7 linked regions of the Solanum lycopersicum genome follow. The protein of the gene in region 7 binds, or shares a complex with, the protein of the main gene of each other region. Links are inferred from orthologs where the notes say so. Each region holds a gene or a part of one and is shown on either strand. Other genes may lie near its edges. The genes, in order: mediator of RNA polymerase II transcription subunit 9, mediator of RNA polymerase II transcription subunit 27, mediator of RNA polymerase II transcription subunit 11, mediator of RNA polymerase II transcription subunit 25, mediator of RNA polymerase II transcription subunit 17, mediator of RNA polymerase II transcription subunit 16 and mediator of RNA polymerase II transcription subunit 13.

Region 1 (4,282 bases), on a different chromosome or scaffold from region 7:
TAAATTTGGGGTATAGATAAATGATGTTTTATGCTAAAAATAATAATTTAAGGATGTAGTTTAGATTTCGGGTATAGTTAAAAAATGTTTTTGGCCAAATTATACCCTATATATAAATAAAATGCTATATAATATTGCGATATATAATTAATTGAACACCTATGACAAAGTCTATTGGTCTGCTGGTAAGCATGTTCATTTACGTGCAAGAGGTCCTCAGTTGCAACATGTTTTTTAAAACATAAAACACACTCTCTTTTCAATTATGTGTAAGAGATCTGTATTAAGTGACTTATTAGGTATACACATTCTCAAGATTTTATTTTAAAGAAAAAATTAAAGATTATTATTTATTATTATACTTTTGAGTATTTCTAAAGTATCTTTCTATTTAGAAAAAGTAAAATAGTTAAGAATTTGAAAATAGGAGAAAAAAACTCATCATAATCGTGAAAGTCACTCTCAAAAGGCTCATCATAGCCCTTTTTGTGACTCGACTCAAGCTCATCATACATTATTCGATATTTGAACTATTCAGTTATTTAAATTACAAAAAACACTCGACAATTTATTTCATATGAACTAGAGGGAGTATATTTCAAGCAAAAATTATTTTGTGACTTTTGTCCATTAGTTTTGATTTATTCCATCGATAGTTTTATCATTTTAAATTTCCGCAAGATTTAGTTACTAAGTGATGTGTAATTTAATTTCTCACACATTTGCAAAAATAAATTTTGTGTACCCACTTCGCTAAAAAAATTATCGACTCTTTTAAAGTTTGAACAACCTCGGCGAAATTTCTGGCTCCGCCACTATTTGGCGAGTAACATACTCATCATACACTTTCTTGGATATATCGCGTTAATTCATTCATCATCAAGATAAATGATTTTGATCTAAAAGTTGATGTCTGGTGCAACCTCTTCATAGTGGAAAAGTGCTTTTTTTTCTTCTAGGTCTTGACTCCTTCATACATGTCCTTGATCTTCTAAATATACGTCATAGAGTCTGGCATTAATACATACATTTTATGAACCCTAAACACCCAAAGGGACCTCCAAAAAAATTTGGTGTGTGTTTTATAGAGGGTCCCTTTTAGTGTTTAGGGTTTAAAAAGTGTCCGTTTTGATATCAGACTTCTACATACCTCCAATTTCCAAACATCTCCAAAAAACCTCCTTCAAGACTCTGTCTAAAAAACTTTCCAATCAATGAACATCATATGCAAGTTTTTCTATTTGACTGTACTTATTTATCAATCTCTTTATAATGACTTTTGAATACATGTGAAACATGCTTAGATATCAAGTGTATAGAATAAATTATATCTAATTTTGACTCATATGTATCTATTTTGTAAAGTTCTAAGAGAAAATATAATTAGAAAGTATAGTTTCAACCGATAAATAACACAAATGTAAATGTGTGTTTTGTGTTGTTTCCTCTTAATTTAAATACAATTCATTCAAATTTGAATGCACTAGTGATCTACTTTTTTATTAGTTCAATCTATTTCAGTTTGTTAAAATATTAGTTCATATATAAATCAAATCGGTTAATGAAAAGTGAGTTTTATGTATTTTGAATTAGTATTTTAATTATTAAAAATTATCTATTTTTTTTTAATACATACTAAATTTTATACTATAGAAAATGTTAAAATTTCTAAATTAGCTTGTTTGCTCTTGAAATCGAAACCTCCCCACAAATTGGGACAGCGGGAGTAATTTCAATTTTGCTATTTGAAAAAACAGAGGATTTTCCGTTGGGGTTTAACCGGATCGGGCCTTTTCATCTCCGGTAATCTTTCTCGTTTTGTAATTCTCATCGTACTTCTGCTTTGTTATTAACTGTACTAGTTGTGGTTTCAGTAAAGTTTAGCTTCGTATAGTTGTGAATTCATTCTCTTGTGGCGGCTTAAATCAAGGGTTTGGTTGTCAGTGTTATAGCAAACGAAGATTCTGTTCAGAAGATTTAGAGTTCTTTTTTGTTGGAAATTTTGAGGTTGTGATTTTGACCTAAAACTGTTAATTTCATAGATAGAGAGATATTTGTATGTTAGTAATAGGGAACCTCTAGGGTTATGAAAACCTAAATTATTGAATATTGGAATAGATGGGGTTCTAATGGAGAGAATTCATATAGTAAACCCAAACTAATTCGGGATTGAGGCATACTTCTTGATTACTGAGCTAAATTAGAGATAAAGAGTAAGAGGTGCAGTTGGGATTGATTCATTTCTCACTTTAATAACTATCTAATTTTACAGTTTTAGGTTTTGTAAACTTTTTTAGTGCATACTAATAACTATCTACCCTTTTGGTTTGCTTGGGATTGCTAGCTCCTTAGCTTTAGTTTAGGATACTTGTATGAGTGCTGAGATTTTTTTTATGCCCTTCCGAATTAGAGCTAAGCGGTCGCATATTTTGTAATCTGGCATCTACCCGATGCCCATTCAAGGATAATTTTTAACCTTATCAAAAAGACATAGTTGCAGCAGTAATTTTTTCCGATGTACCTATTGATTTAACAATGTGAACACCAAATTTATACAGATGTCATGGTAGTTTTTACTTGGAGATAAGAGTTTACTGTTTGTTAAATTTCAAAGAAGAGTTTACTGTTTGTTACGAGGGATGGGCTTCAGTTTTAGAGGGTCTCACTTGATGGCTTTGTTCTCTTTGGTACAAAAGAACTATTCTTGTAATAAGATGTGGATGAAATGTCATTTAGGAATGATGGGAAATATATTTTTGAAGTGGTTTGTACATTTCAGAATCTTAGGAATTATTTCTCTTTGCTACTCAGTCCATTAGGCCAGTTCATGCTTTGATAGTTTTGGCTATTTGTGTAGTACTTGATTACATCTGATGACATTAATTTTATCCATTTTAGAACCAAAGTACCAACAGATTTCAGCTCAACAGCCATTAGTTATGGACCACTTTGGAGGAGGAAGTTGGACAATGATCCCCAACATCCAAACTCACAGTAATCCTTCGACACCCTCCAATCAAGACAATTTATTTCTTCAGCAACAGCAATTTCAACAACAACAGTTCATTCAACCGCAGCTCTATCAGCAACAACAGCAGCAGCAGCAGCAACAACAACAACGGTATCAACAACAGATGCAACAGCAACAAATGCAGCAGCAGCAACAGATGCAGCAGCAGCAAATGCAGCAACAACAACAACAGCAGCAGCAAATGCAGCAACAACAACAACAGCAGCAGCAGCAACAACAACAACAGCACCACCAATCACTTGCCTCTCACTTCCATCTTTTACAAGTATTGGGCAAAAACCATGATCTGTAGCTTGCTATTTTAATAGAGTAACGAGACATTTCTCTTTCCTAGTGAGACCTTTTGTTCTAACTTTTATTGTCATCTTACAGCTGGTGGAGAATTTAGCTGATACAATTGAAAATGGAAATCGAGATCAGCACTCAGATGCATTGGTTTGTTCATTTCTTGATTGATGCATTATATGTTAGTTTTCCATTTCTTCTACATTAAACCGGGTGTATTTTTCCTCACCAGGTAACTGAATTGAAAAATCAGTTTGAGAAGTGCCAGCAGCTGTTGACATCAATATCAGGGTCTATTAGCTCAAGATCTATGGTATTTCATTTTCACACATATCCTTTGATTTCTGTTGTAACTTGTTCTGAACACACCCCCAACTCAAAAAATAAAAAGAAAAAAGAGAGAGACTCCAACAAAGAGTTAAGCGCAATAATATGAAAACAGAACTTCAAAATTATTCTTTTCTGGAAGAGTTGGATTGTTTTTCTTTTGGCAGTGTTATTGCTTTTAATTGTGCTTTTCCATTTGGGCCTGTTTGTTCAACTTATAGTTGTGAAGAATTTTACTGAAAAGTGGGGTTCAATATGTTTGAAACGATGTTGACTTGAACAAAGTTGCTCCACAAATTCTTATTTGGTTGCATGTTTTGATGCTTAAATATGGGTAAGATAATTGACCAGTCCTGTGTTCTTTGGACAGACAGTTGAGGGACAAAAGCGCAAAAAGGCAGAGTGCGAACAAATGCTAAATCAGCGAAGGTTTGTATTATATATATATAAAACACACACACACACACATATATATATGTGTGTGTGTGTGTGTTTCTAATATTGTCTACTGAAATTTGTATAATTATTATTTGCTTCATCTGATGGTCATGTTTCATGCTTAATTACAGGGATCTTATTTCGAGGTACAAAGGCTCAGTTGAGGAGATTATTAACTCTGAACTATAGCTCATACTCGCA
Region 2 (4,095 bases), on a different chromosome or scaffold from region 7:
TCTTCAAAAGTTGGAAAACTGCTGTGCAAAAATAAAGCCAAGGTGTCTTCGACTATGTAGATTGGAAAGATTTCAACTTTGTAAGTCAGTTCTTGTATGTTTAATAATAAACAGGGAAACTATCAGTTGACCAAATAAAAACATGGTAATTGTTTCAAAAAAAATTAAAATCCTAAAATGGAAGCCAAAAGCCCAAAACCAAAAAACCAGTACACATCTGGAGAACTATAGTATTCATGTCAAAATAATTGTGAAACAATAAAAACAAGAAAGTGGATCGTGGACAACCAAAGAGGAAAATGCATTAGAAGAGATAGAAACCTAAGTTTCTGGGAGGACGAAACAACTACAAAGAAAAGTAGAAAGAGAGAAGTATTCACAGAAGACTAGAAAGAATCACAATAGAAAACATACTCAGTATCATTTCCAACATAACAAAGAAATGCACAAGCCTTTCTAATGGACAGACTTTCAGCACAATTACTCTATAAAAGAATAACTCAAATTCCTGCTATAGAAACAGCTCTTCCCATCTAATACAACTGTGGTTCTATCTTTTAGTCTATCAAAACTTCATACTTTCCAACAATACAGCTCCCAATCAGCAAATTCCTCATTCTCTTTCCAACAAGTGAATGCTAATTGTTAGCTATATAGAACGCAAGGGATGAGATAATGTGTAATGGTTTTTCAGGTTGAGGCCAAAAGCATAAATGATCAGAGCTTAAAACTTCCGAATAAAAAGTAAGGGACTAGGAATCATCAAAATATGTAGAAACAAACTAATAGTTTATTTGTTGCAAGTCTCCTTGGTGTCCGACGCTCAAACAAACTAAAGACATTTCGTCAACCAGATGAAGGAACTGGCAAAAGAAAAGACAGCTAGCAATTAAGGGACTATGAATCATCAAAATATGTAGAATACCATGGAGAAACAAACTAATAGTTTATTCGTTGCAAGTCTTCTTGGAGTCCGACACCTAAACAAACTAAAGACATTTCGTCAACCAGATGAAGGAACTCTTGAGGTAGATGGCAAAAGAAAAGGCAGCTAGGTTAAAATATCATAGATTAGTAGGTTCTGTAAAGTTAACCGTATAAAAATGTAGGGTTATCGTAGCCCACATTCTCATGAGAAGGAGAAAGTAGGGGACTTAGAATACCCACAACATATAGGATACCAAGGAGAAACAAACTAATATGTTGCTGTTTCCATGTCTTCTTCGTGTCCGGCGTTTAAAGAAAATAAAAGCCAATGAAACTTCCCTGAACCACATGAAGGCTGTATCTCTTAAAGAGGCAAAAGAGAGGCAAGAAGTTCACTATATCATAGATAAGTACCTTCCACACAGATAGCTGAATAGAGATGTAGGGTTATCGTAGCCTACATTCTCATGAGAATGAGAAAGTAGGGGACTTTGAATTTCCACAACTTGTAGGACACCAAGTAGAAACAAACTAATAGGTTGTTGTCTGCATGTCTTCTTGGTGTCCAACGCTTAAAGAAAATAAAAGGCAATCAAATTTCTCAGAGCCGCATGAAGGACATAACGAGCAAAATAGAGGCAACAAGTTTAGTTTATCATAGATTAGTAGCTTCTGTAAAGATAACTGAATAGAGATGTCCGGTTATCGTAGCCTACATTCTCATGAAAGGAAAAAGTAGGGGACTTTGAATCGCCACAACTTGTAGGATACCAAGGAGAAACAAACTAATAGGTTGCTGTTTGCATGACTTCTTGGTGTCCAACATTTAAAGAAAATAAAATACATCAAACTTTCTGATCCAAGTAGAAACCAAAAATGGTTATACAATTGTATAGAGGTGTTTGCTCCAATGCACTTTGAGATCAGACCAATTGATGTCTATCCCTAGAGTATGCAGCCTGAAGAGGTTGATTCCCATGCAATGCATTATTTTTTGGGGGTAAACTGAGCTGTTCAAAGTAGGAAGAGGCCACCAGTTATCAGATTATCGAACAATTAGCAGTTCAAGTTAAAAAATGTGTATGGCCACGTAACCTGCTTACTCATTCTAAGCAACAAGAAGGGGACAATGAATTTCCTCAGACACTTGTTATGTCAGCAGGAGTAAACAAATGAGTTATTAAATGCTTAAACAATTCTTCACCAAGGCTCAAGAACTTTCAAGGCTTTTTTAGCCTTCTTGTGACTTGTCAAATAACCAAAAAAAATAAAGCCTAATGGAGCTAATTTTGACTTGATAGTTCTAATGTGATTCTAAGATAACACTCCCTAAACTAAAAGTCATCCTATATCACTGTGTATTGCCACCATTGAAAAGTGAAAGTTTTGCCAAAGATCTATTAACTGCGGGTGCATATCAACTTCTGCATAGAAACAATCTAACAAAATATTCATATCAGGTCTCATGACAATACAGGTCACTTTGCTAGATGAACAGAAATCAGTATATTTTTATGGAACTCATAAATCGTCGCACTAAAATTCAGAAAATTAAAACTTACCAGTTGAAACTTGGAAGAAAAGACTGAGATGCTGATAGATTGCAAAGCCGTCAATAGAAATCGTGAAAGTCAGGCAATGTCGCTGGTCGTAGACTCGCAGTGAGGCACAGTTTCTGGTAAATTACAACACAATACCATCGAAGAGTTTCTAAAATCTTTGAGCGGTACAAGAAATTGTGCCAATCACGGCGTAGTGTATGAAGAGATGCCGCACCGAACTAGGGTTCTTCGTCTTTTAGGGATGCTGCGATTTAGGTCTGAATGGAGAAGAGGGGCGCGTGGGGGTCTGAAGAAATAGTGTGGGGCGGGTCAGTCATGGTTTTGGGCCGGATTTGGTTTTGAATGTTGGGCCCAAGTGAGAGACTCATGTCCTTGGAGTCTTTTTTTAGCAAAAATAAAAAGGGAAATTTAGCTAACTAGTCAAAAAAATCAACTTATTTAGTGATAATATCCATATTTTAATAATATTAGTCAATTTTTACAATTAATAGTTGTATTCATTCAAAAATTATATTGCATTGTTTCTGAATTTGACTTTTTTTTTTGTAATTTGTATTTATTCTAAAGGTATGTCAACTGTTATGTATTTTATTTAAGAATGAGTACACCAAATATTTAATTATTTCTTTTCAATTTTTTATTTCATTCACTTTTTCATCATACTAATTTTTTTGTGTTTTATATATTATTATACAAAATTCTAAATAAAAACTATAATAAATAGAAATACAAATAAAATATATATTAAAATAAATACATACAAGATTTTTGAAGAAAAAAAATAGGCCAAATACATACGCAGGTCCCTAAAGTTGTTCGCGCTTTTCCCCCAGGTACCTCAACTAACCAAGATTCCTATAAATCCTTTAACCCCCTATAATTTGATCCTTTTAAATATTTTTGGCTGATGTGGAGTCAAATTTCAATAAATTATTTTTGGTAATTAGGCGCGTGAGATGAACCTTCCCCACGTGGAAATTTTGACCAATACACTCCAACCCAATTACACGTCAGTGCCACATATTATGTCATCAAACCTAAAAATCAATTCCCCCCCAAATCACTTTTAACCCGTTTCTAAACGAGAAAACCCTAAGAATCTCTCCTTTTCAATGACTTTTACAACTGAAATTCTTAGATTTTAAAGTGATTTCGAGTGTTTTGTTGAAGGAATCATCGAAGATTGCAGACGATTTTGGAGTTCATTCGCGATTTTCGAGTTGACGAGTGTGAGGTAAGTGACGAGCATGTTGTTGTGGTTGTGTGTTTTTAATATATGTGTTTATCCTGTGGTTTTTATTGATATATACTGGGTTTTAGTATCAATGTGGTTGTTGTTGTTAATATCTAGATAAAGTTAGGGTTTTTTGGTTTTTATTGTTCATAACTGTCAGAAAAATTTGGAGCCTTGTTTCAGGGAATCTTATGGACGCCATTATTATAACTCGTTTTCATCATGGTGGTAAGTTTATTCAGGACAAAACTGGAATTACTTATAAAGGGAAAGTCGAGGTGGAATATGTTAATATCGACAAGGACCACTTCTCAATAATTGAGTTACTTTTTTACACTAAACAATTGGGGTATATTATTGTTGGTGGGTTCT
Region 3 (3,975 bases), about 7.1 Mb from region 7:
GTGCAAAGAAGTAAAGTATGTCCTTACCTTGATTAGTTGCATGAACTCACTACAATGGTTGTTAATAAGCTCCTTCCTGGGGCCGCTCGGATTTGCCATTTCATCCATTACACCTCCTGCTAGCTCCAGAACTCTGACTATCCTCTGCAAGCATCAGAGGAAGATACAGCAACAGAAGGTATGAGAGTAATGTTTCAGTTACAATTTTTTCTATCAAGAAAAGTGATTACTGACTCCGCATTGAAAGTTATGATCGTGATTTACTCATCAAATTACGATTAGTTGCCTTTGCACTTGACATGCTATATCATCTCCACGTTTTTAATCTGAAGAAACCAATGACTAGGAAACAACAGAGATGCTGTTTCCGTTAGACCAGAGAAAACTCGTGTCAGTAGATATTCAGGGCATATGACAGGACGATCTCGAATACGATTTGATTTCCAACTGTTGAAGATCAGCCTGGAGTTTGTGGAAGATACTCAATGAGCCAGACAGGAAGAAAGCAACCAACAGAAGCAGAAGTTTGAAAAGCCCTTTCAGATCCTATTCTCGGTCCACAGCGTCTTTGATTTATTCATCATTGTCGTCATCTCAACACTATTCCCATCTTCATTCTCTGACTTCGAATTATATTATTTTGGCTGATTTGAGGATGGGTTGAGTTGGGTTGGGTCAGCCCATTTTGACAGTTAGGTGGGTGACATGAAATTCTTAGTCATGGTTATCTAGCCAAGCGGCTCTTGTTCTCATTCATTTCATTTGTCCGGTTGTCCCAGAAATTGAAGGATCCGGAACTCCAGAAGGCTTAGGAGAGCTCAATGGTGGAGTCCCTTACCGAGGCATAACACCATCCATATATCTTCAAGCTTGTCTATGTGTTTCACCCAATCAACGAAATATGGATTTCACCTAAATTCAAAAAGTACTCTCCTCGCTCTCTTTCTTTCTTGAAACATTTTGGTATACAGGATAGGGGAACAAGTAACAAGGACTCGGGCAAGGAAGGAATAATATTGTAGTATCAATTCTGAAATCAGAACATTAAGTATTTTGATGACAAAGAATAGCAGCTACTGAAATCAACCCATCTTAAGTCAATAATCCTGTAGAAACATTTACCTTCTCAACATTTTGCAGCCGCTGCAATGAAGTATTCTGGCTTTGCGAATCCATGTATTCTGAGGGAAGCTGTCAGGACAGGAGAAAAAGATTACTGAATTGCAATGCCGTAGAGCGATCTAGATGTGGAGAAATAAACAGAATCTATAAAACCTGATTATGTGCAGTTTTCAGAGATTTTGGTTCTGAGATCTTTGCAGTCAAATAATTAAACAATCAGAAACCTAAATCCTCTGTAATCAATCCGAAAACAGAAGAAAAACTTACATCTAATAAGTATTATGTCCATTAAACTTACCACCCTACTACACTCTTTCAAGGTACGGGTTTGGCCGAAATCAACAACTTTTCTCTGAACTCTATATTTGTCTTAAGAAATCTATTTAATATGTATAAATTATTAATTTATAAGAGATTATTTTATCCTGCGTGTAGTTGGCAAGATGCAGGATAACAATCTCATGCGATATGTTCTAAAATGTTGAGATTGGCTATTCCATATAGAAGTTGGATAGCTGATCCCACGAGAGAAATCCTTGTCTATTCCATCCCCCATACCGAACGATCAAGGACTAGAACACTGAACCCGTAAACTTCAAATCCTAGCTCCGCCTTTACCCCCAAGACCTGCTGATTATCAAACGAGCAATCCTAACATTTCACCGTCTTCCTCTAGCATTTCTGCAAAGGGGCTATTTCCTTCGACACTCAAACCCATTGCCAGACTTGATTAATCACCCCTTACTGTTCAAATGGAATCATTTCGTTTTTTGCAATTTTCTAATTGTTCAATAGTCTTATAAATTTGAATTCAATTTTTCAAATTCTATCTCGGAGTAGCCATTCACTCAACTCCGAATGAGCTCTTTCGAATCGTTCAATAGCCCTGAACCTGAGATCTGCAGTTTATTAAACAAGCAACCAGTGATAGTCTTATGTTTCTTCGCTGTTCCAAATTTGTCCTACACTCTCAAAACCTCACTAATTTCATATTCCACTTACTTCATTAACTCTTTGTCATCTTCTCTCTTCTCCATTTTTTGGAGGAATTCATCACTCATATCTCTGACTGCAGCGGCTCAACCCTAAAGCCAGCCACTAAAGCAAGCAGTGGATTTAGGACCCAAAAAAATAAGGTCCTCAAATTACAAATCCCTGAAGCTCCGAAAGAACCAAAAAGCCCCAAATTCAGCTCAAATGCACAACGATATTTCATATCATGCATGAGTGAAACAAAGCTCAGATACAAATACAAATACATATAAGACGCACAGGCACGAAATATTTTTCTTATTATTAAAAAAGGAGCCAGCGAGATGTCTGATATCGGCATCTACAAGTGAGAAGTCAATCATACCTTACCTTCAACGGCGGCTATGAGTGGCAGAAGAACGGCAGTCACCGGTGGTCGGAGATAGTCTCAGCTCCGAGTTGTTGCCTGTAATTTTTATTTTTTATTTTTATCATACAAGCATGTAATTGAATAAACATATTGCTTAAATTAACGCATATTTTTTTTAAAAAAAAACATTTTTTCAATTTTTTATTTGTTTAATATGTTATAAAGGTTTTAAAAAAGATATAGCAAACAAAAAATTCAACATAGTGTGAAATTAGGTCTTAGGCGTAACTCACACCCCAAAAGCTAGCTCAAAAGGAAACTCACACCTCAAAAGCTAGCTCAAAGGGTGGAGGATTGCTCAAGCCTTATAAGGAGTTCACTCATCTCATTAATCACCGATGTGGGACTTTTTGTCATTCTTTAACACATAGAAACTATATAATTCTCTATACATATACAGTTGAAGCAAATTGTATAAAATGAAGTGTATAAAACAAAAAATAGAAAGACACTTGGGCAGAGAACTGTATAAAAACGAAGCGTATAAAGCAAATTGCATTATTATAAGTGTATAGAACGATTATATAAAATTTGAATTTGTATAAAATGAGAAAGAGAAAGACAAAAAAGACTTGACAAGGAATATACAATTGAATAGAATTGTATAAAACGAGAAAGAGAGAAATTAGATACAATTTGAGAATTGTATAAAACGAGAAAGAGAGAAAGACAAAAGAAATTGGGCAGGGTGGTATTTTTATTGTATAATTATAATTGTATAGGACGAAAATATATGTACTTGCATGTGTATATACAATTTTCTCATGCTTTATACAAACAGAAACGCAATTTATACATTTCGCTTTTGTTTGTATAAGTGAGAAAGGCGAGGGTGGCGAGCGAGATTTGGGAGAGTGGCGAGCGAGACCTGGAAGAGGGGAGAGAGAGGAACAAAAATATATGTATTTATACAATTTTCTCTGCTTTATACAATTAGAAACAATTTTTATACACTTGTGTTTGTGTAAAAAGTGAGGAAGCGAGTGAGAGATTGGAGGAGAGTGGCGAACGAGATTTTTGGGATAGAGGCGCCTGACAATTTTTTTGCAAACGTTTACTATGAAGCATAATTAAATCAAACCCTACCTACTCTATTTATTTTAGGTTATTAGTTTGCTATATACAATTTTCCCTTTAAAAATACATTTGCTGATTAAATGAATATATACTAATCTAAAAACTATTTATTTTCAAAAACGTTTTCTTAAAACAAGTTTTTTAAAAAAACTTTTTAGCAAATTCATTTGAAAAGTGTTTTTATAAGCAATATGTGTTTGACTAATTTTTTTAAAAAGTGTTTTTATAAGCAATTTGTGTTTGAATAATTTTTTTAAAAAGTGTTTTTGAAAGTCAAATTACGAAAAAAAACAAATATCGATGTGCTTTTAATATTAAAATTATTTTATAGAGAGAAACTATTTTAAACATTTAATACATAAAATTTAATTATA
Region 4 (4,135 bases), on a different chromosome or scaffold from region 7:
AGAATTTAGAAGAACCACTCGGCGGAGGTTTCTGCATCAGCCATTCAAGCCAAACAAACTCCCCAACTGTTTCAGCTAAACGATCAGAAAGCCAAACAAAAATAAATAGCCATGGTAAAGCAAGATAAAAGGAAGAGCTGAGTAGGTGAAGGAGGATGAATTCTCAGTCATTTGCTCAACAAAACATGTGTTTTTGCTTGCATATGTGCGGCTCAGCATATTTGAGAAGAACACCGAACTGATATCAATTCAAAATTGGATGATCTCACCTTTCAGAAATACCAGTAAAAGAAAGAACTAAGAAGCATCTCAAATGAAGAAACCTAACTGAAAATCGATAGAAATCTATAATTAAGTAGACCAGCGATAGAAGGTCAGAAAGCAGGTCTAGTTATCCCTCTCAGTGGTCAACAAGAATTGTTAGCAAAAGAAACCTGCAAATGTACCTTTCCTTGACTACAATAATTTTTTCCCTTGAACATATTCTTCTCGTTAGCAACCTGAGCTTGCCCCTAGAGGGGAAACATATACATGACCTTGAGTGGCATATAATCAACCTTGTCATGGACAGGGTTATATATAGTAAATAACCAAAATGAGTTGCATCCACACCATATGGATGGAGGATTTTCCCTGGTAGTCTTGGATAGACTCTACTCCCATTTAAACATGGCAGTATATTAAAAACATCTTAATAAATCCTTCATTCGAATTGTGCCCAAATTTTCAAATATAGATATTGATTTAAGATTTCTCAATAGTTAATCTTAAGTTTTAAATTTAAAATCTGCATTTAATACTTCTCCAGAGTTTATATATCTTACGAAGCAGGGAATGTAGTGAGCCAGCAAGTCAACTAACAGTCTAAGAAATTGAGGGTCTCAATAAGTTTATTGGATTGAGAAAAATATGCCACAAAGATAACTGTAATGCATGCATAATAGTTGGCAAAGCAATAATATCTTAAACAGCATAATTCAATTAACATGGCTTCTTTTAGTTTCCTTCAACCAAAGAACGGAAGTAATATAATTGGAAGTCGTTTATCCAGTTTTACTCTAAAAAGCCTATTTCTAAACAACTATTATTGCTGAAATGCCTCTTCTGAAAGAGAATTAACCTTGTTTACTTATCCTTTCAAAAAAATAGTTCCATCCATGCAGAAGATTAAAATACACTGTTGATTCCAAGCTCCGCAGACTTAATCAACACGCGACTAAAAAGTTAAGAGAAAAAGGTGAACAACATTTTCCTATTAAATGATCATATTTCCCTTATTCATGCTTATCTGTATACCTAAGGGCTTGGTCTATTTAATTTTTGCTAGAATAAGAGGGGAATTTGTCGGTCTAAATAATTAACATCGGATTTGTGTTGCCTAAAGGTTTCACTTTGACTATCTTCTCCAACACTTTGACTTTGAGGGGGTAAAATGCATATATTTTGTTTTCTTGATGTCACATTTTGGTTGTTTAACATCCTCATTGTCTATTGCTGCAGTATTACCTCACTTTTAAAGAAAGCAGATGAGCAAGGCTATGGTGCCACTATAAATTCAATTAAACACAATAAATATAAATCAGCTAAGTAGTCAAAGTGGAGAGATAGAATAGAGTAACCAAATTTCTGAAAAACAAAGACCACAGCTGTTGAAACTTGAAAAGAAGAATCACTGATTGAGAGCCTTAAGAAATTAAAAATGAGAGAGATACGAGATGATGAAGGTTGCCAGAGAATTCATGGAGAAATAGTAATTGTGTGAACAAGAAATTGTAAGTAGGATTTACGTTACTAAGGCTGTTGCCTCGACTCTTAAAAATGTCACGAGGTGGATGTCGGATACTTCAAAAGTAGTAAATTTTTGGAGGATCCGACAAGGTTGCGGCAACATTTTTGGAGATTACGAGCAACTTAGGTTTAGGGTTTGAGAGAACCATGTAAACAAAAGATCTTATAGAAGGGAAGGGTGGGTAAAGTGCAAAGGTTGGAAATACCAATCATTGCAAACAACTACGAGTTCTTTAACCGCCTCCCTTCAGGAATTAGACTTTTTGTAAGCCATTCATTCTAATTTTCATTTTTCAAAGTTAAACTTCGGTATCAAGGCTTCAAAAGTTTCCCATATTAGTTCAGAGAAACTCAAATGCTATGTGCACATGATTATCACATAGAGAAATGGTATTCTCCTGAGCACAGCATTTTCTCAATGATTTACTAGCATCGGAATGCAGCATTTTCCGTAAAAGATATTTACAAAATTGAATAAATAAACAACTCAATGTATTCATAGTAGACGAGTTTGAATCTATGGTCTGCTGAGGTCAGGAGTTGGATTTCAATAGCTTCTGACCATAATTTTGATTAACTTCGGGTAAAGGTTGAGGTTTTAATCCCCATCCTAAACTAGGGAAAGATAATCGGCCGACATACAACAATTCATCCAAATAACGAAAATCAATGACTGAATTCAGGATGAAATACTAAAACAAAAATGGGAACAAGTAGAAAAAACAAAAACTGAAAATTTAAGTGTATGAAAATGAGTACCTGATAATTTTATCAAGGTAATCGGAAACGATGATTTTCCAGTAAGGGCCCAACACAGCGGTGCCTTCAACGGCGACGATCAGTTTGTCCACCATCGCTGCTTTAACCAACTGCTTGATTTTTCCTTTCCACGTCCAACCTTGTCTTGTTTATTCTTTTCTTATAAAATATTACTCTTTTAACAATAATAATTTTGTGCAGCAGCCAAAGACACAAAATGTTGACTTGTAAATACTATCCCTAGGGTTTGTTTGTTTTTTAATTTATTTCCCTAATATTTAACATTTATATATATATATATGGAAATAAATAAATTCTCAATAAGAATTAACACACCAAAAATAATTATGGTAAATATTGTATTATGGTAAGTTACTGTACTAAAAGCAACTTCCATTGCAAATCGTTGTGTGATCGTTTCTTCCAAAGTTATACAATTACTTCTAAATACGTATATTCGTAATTGGAAGTTGGGAGTTTACATTAAAAAAAAATAAGAATAAAAGAGGACTCTATGTGGTTTTTGTTCACAAATGAAGTTGTTTAAGTAGATGAAGAATTTCGGAAAATGTCAAGTCTCATATGATGACCTGCGGACTGGCAAGATGGTTTGTAGAATGGTTTGCGATTCAAAGAGAGGAACCGTAGGAGTGTCCTAGAAAAAATTTGAGGAACTTTGGGTTCTATGAGAGGGCCCTACGGATCGTAGGAAGGACTTTGTAAAAGTTGACCCAAATCTCAGTCTTCATTACTCGATCTATAGTTGATTAGTACGAACAATAGAAGTTTCTATAATCTGTAGGTGGCACCCATAGAGTCGATCCCACACTATTTAGTAGGGATATTCCAGTGTTTTCCCACCCTTTCTAAGCTTAAACCCCAACATTTTTACCTCTAATTAAGGGCTAAACATTGTTGATCAACTCTTTTACGTTCATTAGCACTCCCAAGACTTAGAGTAATCATCCATGATGAGAAAGGTAGGGTTTTCAAGCATCTTCTTCAAGTTCTTTGCGTTTCTTAAAAAAAAAATGGTCTTCCAAGTATATAAGGTTATTCATACTGATAGACTGAGTTCGTCCTCATGCCCTACATCTAAATTCAGTCAATAAGAGTCTAATCTAGGGTAATACCCTTAGTTTTGAGAATTCTTGATATGAATTATGTTATCAATTTCAAGTTCTAAATTCTTAATTTTGAGTTGCAATATATTATGCATCGAGATCTTCGAGTTGTTTTCCATGTTTATATTTCCACTTGAACTCTATGATGAGTGGTAGATTTTCACTCATTTGAGGTCTTTTTAGTTCAACAATTAGTGTCCTCGTTGCCTGTTTATGTCCTATCTTGATGATATTTTGAGGTTTTTAAGGTATGAAGGATAAAGGACAAGGCAATGATGAATACATGGAAATAGGGCCAAAAACATTGTAAGGAGTACAAATTTCCAACTGGTAGTCGGCTAATAAAAATGGTGGATCGCCTGATTGGTCTGACCTCACCCAAGTTGACTGTGTGCACAATTTTAAATATTCAAGGCAGGTTGGCAGACTAAACATGAAAAGGCAATTCGCCGAAGTTGAATGGG
Region 5 (4,001 bases), on a different chromosome or scaffold from region 7:
CGAATGAGTTTCTCTCACATGCTCATCATCACTTTTTTCTCTCTTAGTTTCTCCAGAAGAATCCTCAAAAGACACCTTTGGTCTCAGTCTGCTATGTTTTATAACACCAGCAGGTGTACTTGCACCGAGAAACTCAAATTGAAGAGTCCGGCAGGAATTTGGCGGTAAATTCACAGCCAGCATCCCAGCTGGGTCATGCTCAATACGCACCACAGATGCAGAAGATGGGCGAAATGCAACCGCTGGATCATATAATGAAGTGTCAAATAAATCAATGTAAAACCCTTCATTTCCAGAAGCAGCAGCAACCATCCGATGCCATTTAACCTTCCAATTTTGCTGCAATCTATCAGCTCATCAGGAAATAGCCAAAATTTTGAGGAAAGGCACAAAGACATGGTAGTCTAAATGACTGCACACATATCTTTCACAATGTACTAATACTGTTCGTAGCCACAAAGAACAAACCTGATAAGAGCACCATAAAATCTTGCTTCTCTAGCCACTTGTTGTTCCAAAGCTTTGGCAGATTGCTTAAAATATTTCCCCAAATGCTGCAAAAGAAAAGCCAAATTACGAAACACATACAGCTTTGCTAATGAAGTGCATAACTATACTTTGTCAACAAACCATTAGACTTAAAGATAATCAGTGGATTATTTGTTTAACTCAAACTTATACATCAACCATAACATCTTGCAGAAGGGATAAAGTAAAATACACGGAAGCATTGCAGCTTGGTTGCCATAGACACGGCAAGGTCTGACAGATGCTCGTTGGGCAATTGCTTTGGCCTGGTCATGCCAGCCACTGTCACTGCATCGTTTGCCTCCACCTGTATGCAGAACAGCAGAGTCAACAATGCAATACATAATCCACAGTTCCTGCTAATTTATTCATCTTATGCCTAAGAAAGGTGCTGTCTTAAATGCCAGGGAGAAGGGGCAAAAAGGGATTGAAGGAGCAAATGGACTGACGAATCTCATGCCACTTAAATAACTAATGCCGAAAGCTTAAGTCAAATTTTTTAATCCTTAGTTGTCTCTATCATACTGATAATGAGGAGTAAATGATATGCTAGGGACATTATCATATGCCTTTTCTAGGTCAATGAACACCATGTACAAGTCCCTCTCCTTCTCCCTATACTGCTCAAACAATCTCCTTTCATGGCTTCAAGCTGAATTGGTTCTGACACACCCCTCTTCATCCTCATCTCGACCACCCTTTCCCAGACTTCCATAGTGTGGCTTAGTAGCTTGATACTCGTGTAGCTATTGCAATTTAGAAAAGCCACGTTGATTCAATTCAAAAATCCAATATGTGGTGTATCCAACTTTACACCTTCCAAAAGGCCTTTCTTTATCACGCACACATGAAATTCCCTACTGGAACAACTTAGAGGTAGTTAATAATTCCTCTGTTGTAAATAAGATGTCTTGATCTTCTTTCTCTAACCACTTTTCAAGTACATTCACGATCATACATGTGTGTATTTTACAGTTCTCTATTGTATTTTCTGAATTAGATTCATACCTTACTAATATTGATAACTAAATAAAAATGTTCCAACCCACTCTCGTGATAAACCTCAACATTGGAATAAAACCAGTGTGCTCTATTCTCATAGATGAAATTTTATTAACATTTATCCATGATGCAAACACTACTCTGTATCATTCAGTCTAAAACTGCATGCCACAAAAACTCAATTGGCCAATAATGAGTACAGCATAAGACAAATGTATTCCACTTTCAAGCACATTATCAGGCTAAAACACAAAGTTTTCCTCTTATGGTAAGTGCATGGAACACAACCAGCTAGGCACAAGACATACTAAACATGTACCAACAAATAATCAATCAATCAACCGACACCTCAATCGCACACTAGTTGGCATTGACTAAACCTCCGTATTAAGGCGGAGCTAGAGTGTGGGAAGCAGGTTCAGCAGAACCTAGTAGTTTTAGCCCACTTTGTAGGTATCATATGCAATCCATTTACTAAGTACAAATTACTAATTTAGAAATCATCAACTCAAAAAGAATAAAATCCCAAACCTATAACCTGCTCACCATTCTTTTTTCTCTATTCAACTTCATTATTCTCAAAATCTCACAATTATCACACATTAGTCTTTGACCAGACACCACACAAACACCAGACCAGATGTAAATATCAGAACAATTAAAACTTAATTTGAACTATTTTCTATCAAAACTATATAGACATTAAGTTCAATCATTAAAATTATAAGCCAAAATTCTAATGTTAACACTTACAGTGTGAATGAGATCGATAATGACTTGAAGCTCTTGATGAGCCAATCGCAAATTCTCCACCAAACTCTGCCATTGCCATGGCTGACTGCTACTTGTCTCCTTTGAAGAAGTAGCACTACTGCTTTTCTTCTGCTTCTTACTTGGCTCTTCTCTTTCCACTGCCCACGCAAAATCAATTCTCCTAATCAAATTCACCGTTTTCTCATCGTATCCTATATCACTGCAACAATTACGAAAAATCTAAATGTAAATATCCAGCTCACAAACTGATTATGCATGAAATTCTACATTTTTATATAGAGAGAGAAAGAAAGTGTACGAAGGGAAGCGTTCAGCGCCTTGTTCTTCAATATACTCTAAACGCTTGATCGGAAGCTTGTCGACGGAAATCTCCAGATTGCCGTTCATTTTTCAGGGAGATTTTCCGGGAAGAAGTGTCGGAGAAATCCCGAATTGTGCCCTAAATCGGGGAAAATACCCGTCGAAAATAATTGGGGTTTGGTTCGCTTAATGTATGGGCCTATTAAGATCTGGGCTTAAATCATGGGCCTATTACGAACCACACTATGGCCCTTTCATGTTTGGTTTGGTGGGTCAAAAAAGGGAAACTTACGTAAATGTACTCGCTTGATCACTTTTAATTCATTTATAATACAAGTTTAATACATATTACACAGAACAATTTATTATTCACATGTAATACAAGTTTTAATGATAGATAATACACTTATAACACATTTTAATACACTTATAGTACAATGCGACAATTTTTTACCAAACAAACATAATATATTTCAAAAACAATTAGAATTCATATATATTGCATACATAATTCACTTTTAATACATATTACAGACTTATTACAGTATTGCTATAAATGGTAATAAACAAAAAATATAGCTAAAATCAGTAATTATATTTTAAAATGTATTAATTCATGTAATTTTTTCGTCAAAAAATGAGTTATTTGCGCTTTTATCGTATTTGTACTTGATTTCAATTTTTGTCTCTTATGATAAATCAATAACTTTTTTGGTGGGACGTAAGTTTAGATTTTTTTTAATCATAATATCTCATAAGTTATAGCACGTGTGCCCTTAAAGAACTTATGTACCGCTAGGTATAAGTTTGATTATTAAAGATCAACCTATTTAAAAGAAAAATCGTGCAATTATCAATTATTAAAGGTAAAATTTGAAGATCAACCTATCTGAAAAGAAAATCATGCAATTAAATATTCAAAAAGGTTCGATAGTTAGCAAATCGTCTTGTAGTTTCGATAGTAACTAGGTCTACAGAAAAGTTATGCGTCTTATATTCATGCATAACTTTCATACTGAAAATAACACAGTTAAAAATATTATTACATATATTAACTCAAATAAATATGATTGGTGAATAAATTTTACTTATATACATTACAATAAACATCTTAGTTTCATTATTTTCTTGGCGGCTAAGGATTATTTTTACAGTAACAGATCGGTCTAATCACGAGTTCATAGATTCAATAAAACTTAATGATTTGATTTTGAACATTGTAGTAGCATATGCAATTCTTTGACAATAGATTTATTTCAATTCTGTTTTTGACGATGCATTAATATACATGTAAAATTTAACTAAGAAAATCAATTAATTTCATATTTATATAATTTCATAATACAAAAGAACAATAAATTTTTTATTTAAAAAAATCTAAAAGTTTGAAGCAATTA
Region 6 (3,500 bases), on a different chromosome or scaffold from region 7:
GGACAAGTACTAACTCTTCCAGTTAATGAGTCTCTTTTCACATTTCTCATGTACCCCATTCCATATGTCTCTGGACTTGCTTTTAGCTCCCAAAGGCATACCTAGGTAAGTAGTTGGAAGCTCCCCAACCTTGCCTCCTAGTGTTCTGGTCAAAACTTCTGTATTAAGCACACCATTGATAGGATAGATGAAGTTTTTCCCCCAGTTAATGTGGAGACTAGATACAGCTTCAAAAATGACAAAAATGACCCTCAAAATCAGTATTTGTTTTGTCTCAGCTCTACAAAATACCAATGTGTCATCTGCATATTATAGATGAGTTATCTCTAAACTAGAAAGTTCTCCTGCTTGGAACCCCTTGATCCATCCTTTTCCCTTTGCTGTATTAATGAGGTTACTCATTCCTTCCATAGCTTAGATGAATAAAAATGGGGAAAGAGGACCCTTTGTCTCGGGAAAAAGCCAGTGGGTACTCTATTACAAGTATAGAGAACCTGACAGTGCCGATACAATGTTTTATCCATCTTATCGGGCCCCAAAACCCATACTTCCCAACATTTGTATAAGAAAGTCCCAGTTTAAGAAGTCATAGGCTTTTTGTATGTCCAGCGTGCATGCAATTCCTGGCTTATTACTCCTTTGTCTGGTCTCTATGCATTCATTAGCTATCAAAATGGCATCCATAATTTGTCTGCCCTTGATAAAAGCCATCTGATGCCTATCCACCAGGCTATGTATCACCCTCTTGAGTCTCTCTACTAGAAGCTTTGAAGATTCCTTGTATAACATTCCTGTGCACATTCACTGTATAAATGTTTAAAACATACTTTTTGTCAAGATAATCTTCCAGACATGTCTGATTTTTCTTCTTGATAAAGATTCCAACCTGTCTAAAATTGTTTAGCAACCTATCAGTTTCAAAAGAGAACTCTCATCTCCTGGATGTTCATTATGGAATGAGTATTTTGGCATAGAAGTTCTTTTTTGAAAGCATCCAAGGTTATGACCTAGTGGTCAATGAAGTGGTTGAGAGCCATGAGATCTCAGTGGAGACAAAAAAACTAGGTGATTCTTCCCATATATCTTAGTCTTGGTGGACAGAGTTACGTGGTACTTGCTGCTGGTGGGAAGTGAAAGGTATCCCGTGGAATTAGTTGAGATGCGTGAAAACTAGCCTGAACACCACGGTTATAAAAAAAGTAGTTCTCTTTTGAAAATTTCCAACTCCTATGCTGTGACTCTGCTTTGCTATGATCTGTAGAGTGTAGACTGTTCTTGACTCAGAGAACATGGAAAGGAAATCTCCTTTCATGATCTATCACACATTTATTAGTATGCATATATCCTTGAAATCACTATCAAACATGTATAAATCCTTGGTTTCACAATCAAGAACATGCTTTTGATGTTATTTCTCTCTCTTTCTCTCTCCCCTCTCTCTCTCTCTCTCACTCTTTTTCTCCTTGTTCCTCTGGCAGTTGCTTTCATCTCAAATGGATAGATATATTGTCTTTTGTACTGAGTTGCTTTTTTGAAATGTTTTTTTAGTGCTGTTGCTTGGTGTGGAAAGCTAAATGCAATAGCTTGTGCGTCTGAAACATGTGCAAGGATTCCAAGGTTAGAGCCTCGATTTCCATCACTGTAAATTACTTCAGCACTCTGTACTTTACTGCACATGGATATTATAACTGTCCAGTGTTTCTGCTAATTCGATGTGGTCAAATTCTGTAGATATCACTTTATATCTTTCGCTCAACTGTTTTATTCTTATTACTTCTACCTTTTTGTAGTTCAAATGCAAATCCACCTTTCTGGATCCCTATACATATCGTCATCCCAGAGCGACCAACTGAGTGCACTGTGTTCAATGTTATAGCAGGTATTGTAGAATGACTTGACAGTGGCCATGGATTTTTCTTCCTTTTGCAAACATGTTTAGAACCTAACAAACGAGGCCCTCTCCTTTAGGTCCAGCAGTTGTTTATGCATGAGATTTTCTGTTTCCTCCTCTGATTTTCTCGCACATAGAAGGAAAATCCGAGATATTTGTGAAATGGTGAACAAATGAAAACTGAACAGACGGTGCAATGCAAAGCAGTGGATAAACAACTCTTCATGGAGGAACAATTAATTAAGTTCTCAACTTTTTGAGTAATATGTGACGGACCTTCAGTGTATTAAAGAATTCTTAATGTTTGTTGTGACATTTAATTTTTCCGACCATCATATATGGGATGCTAGATTGCTTATCAGTGTTTGTACTAAAATATCTTGGAGTGCCCATTTTGAAGTGACAATTTGAATTGTCTAATTATCATAAATATTTGGTGAGATTGCATCTGGACAAAATGATCCTTCTAGTTTCCACGCAAAGCCCGAATCAAGCTTTGACCTTCTAGCATAATATTAAAAACTATTCATTGAAATTGGAGTTGATTAATTTTTACATGATTGCAGTGGATTAGAAAATAGTTCGAGTAGCTTAAAAACACTTTTACATGATTGCAGTGGATTAGAAAATAGTTCGAGTAGCTTAAAAACACCCTCTTTTCAAGAGGACTTAGTTTGTTTTGATTTCAAATGCGTAAGAGTGCTTTTTTTTCCTTTTTAGATAACTAAATAGGCCGTAAAGCTCTGGTCCATTGTGTTGTTGTTGCACTGAACTGAATTTTGTCCGAAGAGATGCTCACTTTTAACTCTTGTGCATGATTGATTACCGCCAGGTGGTTTATTTTGATATTTCATCTTTTACATTTTACATTCTACAGACTCCCCTTGTGATGTTGTTGCACTGAACTGGCTTTGTCCGAAGAGATGCTCACTTTTAACTCTTGTGCATGATTGATTACCGCCAGGTGGTTTATTTTGATACTTCATCTTTTGCATTTTACATTCTACAGACTCCCCTCGTGATTCCGTCCAATTCATTGAATGGTCTCCAACTTCGTGTCCACGTGCACTACTCATAGCTAACTTTCATGGGAGAATAACAATCTGGACTCAGCCTTCACAAGTAAGCTGTTTTTTCTGGAGTTTACTATAGTGCATTTTGTTGTCCTTTTCACTTTTTGTTTCATGTATTTTTGGTTACTTGCACGTTCTTGGTGAGGGGTTTCTTACCTTTTCCATGTCACATCTGCTAGCCAACATCTTGATTGAGTGTTGGTTTTTCTCATATGTTACAAATTCAAGATTAATTCTGCCTTGTTGCTTCAAAAACTATTCTTACTTACTGCACTTAAGGGTGTGGTCCAATGGTCAATGAAGTGGGTTGGTCGTAGACTCAGATTCCAACAAAGAACACTAGGTGATTTCTTCCTATCTGTCCAAGCCTTGGTGGATAGCTGGTGAGAGGTAGGAGGTACCCTGTGGATAGAGTTACCCAGTTCCTGGTCCTGACACCACACTTTTTTTTTTAAAAAGAACTATTCTTACTTAAAATGTATGCTTGGTACACAGGGTTCAGCTAATCTGGTACGAGATGCTAGTTGTTGGCAGCG
Region 7 (3,028 bases):
CTCAAGCCTTGGCACATTGGACTATTAGATCAATTGACTAATACAAAATATAAGCTAGCTCTAGAAATCTCGAATCCAAAGCCTAGGTAAAAATTTCGAAATATTCTGATATGAATCCAAATTTAATGGTGACAACAAGTGAGACTAGTTTGCTTTTCATAATCCAACATTAGTAATGATGTGGTTGGTTACCTTATTCATACCTGCATAAATCAACTTTACAATATGCCTATGTTAATTGTCATTTTTGTTGCCCATTTGAGTTTTGAAATGGCCAAATGATCTATTTAGATAAACGAACACACATTTTAATCCACTAGTAAAGTACCGACACTTATATTAACTTTTGAAACTTGTGATCATAAAGCACTTATACGACTGCTAGAGCTAGTCATTTTTGATAAATAATATCATTATTAGTTTGAGATTGGTAGTGTTCATGCCTTCCATCTTTGTTTATATTTAGCATAAGTAAAATGAAAACAAGACCAGAGAACAGATTAGTCCCCTCAAAGAAATTAAATGGAAAATACAAAGGCAAAACTTTGCCATTTTCAAGGATTCAAAGTACAGATGACACATCATTTCTCCAAACTAGCCTAACTTGAGATCCCCATTTCCCATGCACTAAGCACTGCTATTCAGCAATTAAAAAAATGAACTAAGAGTCACAAATCTGCTGTCTAGTAAAACCATCCTGTCATCAAGTGCCTTGGAATGTTGTAAAGATAATGAGGGACTCGAGCACTTGATAGTATTTTTAGGACTAAAGAATTGTGTACTCAACTCTTTGGATCCCTGTAATAGTTTACATGACATTATGTACAAAATAAAAATCTACTATCCTACAACTACTAATTTATCCCAAGGTAACACTTCTCAGAAAGGATGTTCTCCAGCGAACTAGTATATGCATTTTGTGTTTACAGTCTGTTTCTATAACGAAACAAAGACACAAGATGGACGGCTTGAACAAGTTGTGTGTATGCTGCAATTTACACGTATCCTAAACTTGGCTTTTCACAGGTTGCCGAGAAACTTCCTTATCGGCAAAGTGAAGCAGTCTCCGAAGCCTTAATACCATGTCACAATGTAAAGGCAAAGCAGATCTTCTCTCCAAGTATGCCGGACTTACAGTCATCCATGATAAAGCATGGAGCTCTGCAGCTATGTTCTCAAGAATCAAGTGAGCTGCTATTTCAACATCTCTTGTTTCCGAACCTGTACCCCTTCCCCCAACCTTACCAACACCCTTCAAAAACTTTTCATGGATGACGTTGCTGCCACCATAGTAATCAACGAGGCTGACAGAAAGAACTGAGGGCCATTCTTCTTTTGAGATACTCCTTACATCTCTCCTCATTGTAGGTACAGCTTTTGAAACCACAAAACCTGTTGAAAGGGGAATGGCACATCCCTTGCTGTGGAGAAGATGGGCAAGTGGTGGTGATTCAGCAGTCAGGCAAGTAGGAAGCTGAAGACTGACAGGAGGTAGGAATCTCATACTGGGTGACGGAATTAGAATGTAGGAGGTGGACGTAGAACCAAGGGACTTAACTGGGGTATAACCTTCAAGATAACCTGGCTGACTCATAATGCCACTACTTTGACTTGTTCCTGCAAAATTTATACCATGCATGAATATGAAACAGAAATAACCAGGCATAAAAATGTCAACTGATGACAAATCAAAAGAAAATATTTTTTTAATGGATTCTCATATGGTAAGCCCCAACATCACCACTACCCAAAAGAAGAACCTGACACAGAAGTGCAATGGTAACCCTATCCCACTTTACTCCCTTGGTAACCCATATCCCAACGACAATTCCTTAACCTACACTATTCCTCCCTTTACTTCATATAATCTTAGTATCTCCTCTACAGCCCATATTGTAAATAAGAGAATCTAAAAGAAAGCCACAGTCAACTCTATCAGAGAACAGGTAGTCTGAAAAAAAAAACAAAAAAAGAAGAGAGGAATTGTAAGGAATTGTACCATGACTTGTCGAGTCCGCTTGAATCATAAGCTGTAAGGAATGGTCAATAGAAAGAGAGACAAAACTAATGCTTTGCACCAACTGAAGTAAGCCCCTGGAGTTGTCCACTACACCCTGTCCGCCAATTAACTGCTTCCTTGTGGATGGTTGACCTAAGCCACCTTTCATGAAAGAGGAAGCCTTTGAGTGAGAACTGTACAATGGACTAGGGGAGGAAGGAAGTGCTCTTTCTTGAATCAGACCTATTTCCTGTTGCTGCAAGGATGTCCCATTACTACTTGCAGTCATTCCATCAGGCACAGATCGCCTTAGCTGCAGAGACCATTTCTTCACCTCAGATCCCCCAATTGAATACAGGGCTTTCTGCCATTCTGCGTCCAGAAAATTGCATTAATAAGATAAGCATGATTGATAAATCAAACAGAAACTTCATTTTAGTCGCTCAAATCAAAACCAACCAAGGTTATACTTTATCAAGATATTCATCATATCCCACACAGATATATTAGAATTAAATTGTTTGTGTTCCACAGCCAAACCAAAAAATAAAAAATAAAAAAAAATAGATCAGCTAAAACTTTGTCGCAATTAAAGACGGAGACAGCAAGTCAGATTCATCAAAATTCAACACCAATGAGTATTATGATGTAACAAAAGTAGACAGTAAGCACAAGATATTGATGACAAATGTTTACCCTGGCATTCAAGCTCAAGGAAGCATCCTATACGAGCAATGACAAAATCCCTAGGCTTGGCAATGGCAGCCTCAGGTGGACATGACTGAAGGATCTGACATCCTTGTTGCAGAATTTGCACAAACAAAGATTGCAGACCTTTCGTATCCTGCCTACTACTTATTCCCCCAAATGGATATATATGATTATCAAGCAATTCTCCCCTGGAATCTGTCCATATACACACCAGCCAGCGCCAATCTTCAGTCCAACCATAACAACAATGCAGGCTTGGAAGTGATTTTTGATGTGCAGATCCAAAACCATCTGGTACAGATGTTTCAGACTGAGTGT

Evidence for each region.
Region 1: mediator of RNA polymerase II transcription subunit 13 (region 7) and mediator of RNA polymerase II transcription subunit 9 share a complex: the UniProt entries of both Arabidopsis thaliana proteins name them as parts of the mediator complex. The link is inferred for Solanum lycopersicum from reciprocal best matches to the Arabidopsis thaliana genes GCT and MED9.
Region 2: mediator of RNA polymerase II transcription subunit 13 (region 7) and mediator of RNA polymerase II transcription subunit 27 share a complex: the UniProt entries of both Arabidopsis thaliana proteins name them as parts of the mediator complex. The link is inferred for Solanum lycopersicum from reciprocal best matches to the Arabidopsis thaliana genes GCT and AT3G09180.
Region 3: mediator of RNA polymerase II transcription subunit 13 (region 7) and mediator of RNA polymerase II transcription subunit 11 share a complex: the UniProt entries of both Arabidopsis thaliana proteins name them as parts of the mediator complex. The link is inferred for Solanum lycopersicum from reciprocal best matches to the Arabidopsis thaliana genes GCT and AT3G01435.
Region 4: mediator of RNA polymerase II transcription subunit 13 (region 7) and mediator of RNA polymerase II transcription subunit 25 share a complex: the UniProt entries of both Arabidopsis thaliana proteins name them as parts of the mediator complex. The link is inferred for Solanum lycopersicum from reciprocal best matches to the Arabidopsis thaliana genes GCT and PFT1.
Region 5: mediator of RNA polymerase II transcription subunit 13 (region 7) and mediator of RNA polymerase II transcription subunit 17 share a complex: the UniProt entries of both Arabidopsis thaliana proteins name them as parts of the mediator complex. The link is inferred for Solanum lycopersicum from reciprocal best matches to the Arabidopsis thaliana genes GCT and AT5G20170.
Region 6: mediator of RNA polymerase II transcription subunit 13 (region 7) and mediator of RNA polymerase II transcription subunit 16 share a complex: the UniProt entries of both Arabidopsis thaliana proteins name them as parts of the mediator complex. The link is inferred for Solanum lycopersicum from reciprocal best matches to the Arabidopsis thaliana genes GCT and SFR6.

What each region holds. Positions count from the first base shown.
Region 1 is NC_090801.1:55,598,634-55,602,915, forward strand, and holds the start of mediator of RNA polymerase II transcription subunit 9, read left to right. Parts: upstream 1-1,482; 5' UTR 1,483-1,803; intron 1,804-2,898; 5' UTR 2,899-2,939; coding exon 2,940-3,296; intron 3,297-3,403; coding exon 3,404-3,466; intron 3,467-3,548; coding exon 3,549-3,629; intron 3,630-4,013; coding exon 4,014-4,072; intron 4,073-4,212; coding exon 4,213-4,270; 3' UTR 4,271-4,282. UniProt on the Arabidopsis thaliana protein: Component of the Mediator complex, a coactivator involved in the regulated transcription of nearly all RNA polymerase II-dependent genes.
Region 2 is NC_090800.1:77,928,903-77,932,997, reverse strand, and holds the start of mediator of RNA polymerase II transcription subunit 27, read right to left. Parts: upstream 2,801-4,095; 5' UTR 2,490-2,800; intron 1-2,489. UniProt on the Arabidopsis thaliana protein: Component of the Mediator complex, a coactivator involved in the regulated transcription of nearly all RNA polymerase II-dependent genes.
Region 3 is NC_090803.1:5,625,740-5,629,714, forward strand, and holds the start of mediator of RNA polymerase II transcription subunit 11, read right to left. Parts: upstream 2,801-3,975; 5' UTR 2,485-2,800; exon of another isoform or gene 2,480-2,484; intron 1,192-2,479; 5' UTR 1,177-1,191; coding exon 1,123-1,176; intron 145-1,122; coding exon 28-144; intron 1-27. UniProt on the Arabidopsis thaliana protein: Component of the Mediator complex, a coactivator involved in the regulated transcription of nearly all RNA polymerase II-dependent genes.
Region 4 is NC_090811.1:29,982,590-29,986,724, forward strand, and holds the start of mediator of RNA polymerase II transcription subunit 25, read right to left. Parts: upstream 2,801-4,135; 5' UTR 2,643-2,800; coding exon 2,548-2,642; intron 1-2,547. UniProt on the Arabidopsis thaliana protein: Component of the Mediator complex, a coactivator involved in the regulated transcription of nearly all RNA polymerase II-dependent genes.
Region 5 is NC_090811.1:1,513,889-1,517,889, reverse strand, and holds the start of mediator of RNA polymerase II transcription subunit 17, read right to left. Parts: upstream 2,801-4,001; 5' UTR 2,692-2,800; coding exon 2,603-2,691; intron 2,504-2,602; coding exon 2,284-2,503; intron 836-2,283; coding exon 722-835; intron 555-721; coding exon 469-554; intron 347-468; coding exon 1-346. UniProt on the Arabidopsis thaliana protein: Component of the Mediator complex, a coactivator involved in the regulated transcription of nearly all RNA polymerase II-dependent genes.
Region 6 is NC_090801.1:59,378,304-59,381,803, reverse strand, and holds part of mediator of RNA polymerase II transcription subunit 16, read left to right. Parts: intron 1-1,548; coding exon 1,549-1,617; intron 1,618-1,790; coding exon 1,791-1,879; intron 1,880-2,900; coding exon 2,901-3,013; intron 3,014-3,248; exon of another isoform or gene 3,249-3,354; intron 3,355-3,459; coding exon 3,460-3,500. UniProt on the Arabidopsis thaliana protein: Component of the Mediator complex, a coactivator involved in the regulated transcription of nearly all RNA polymerase II-dependent genes.
Region 7 is NC_090803.1:12,755,466-12,758,493, reverse strand, and holds the end of mediator of RNA polymerase II transcription subunit 13, read right to left. Parts: coding exon 2,696-3,028; intron 2,372-2,695; coding exon 2,000-2,371; intron 1,618-1,999; coding exon 1,007-1,617; 3' UTR 501-1,006; downstream 1-500. UniProt on the Arabidopsis thaliana protein: Component of the Mediator complex, a coactivator involved in the regulated transcription of nearly all RNA polymerase II-dependent genes.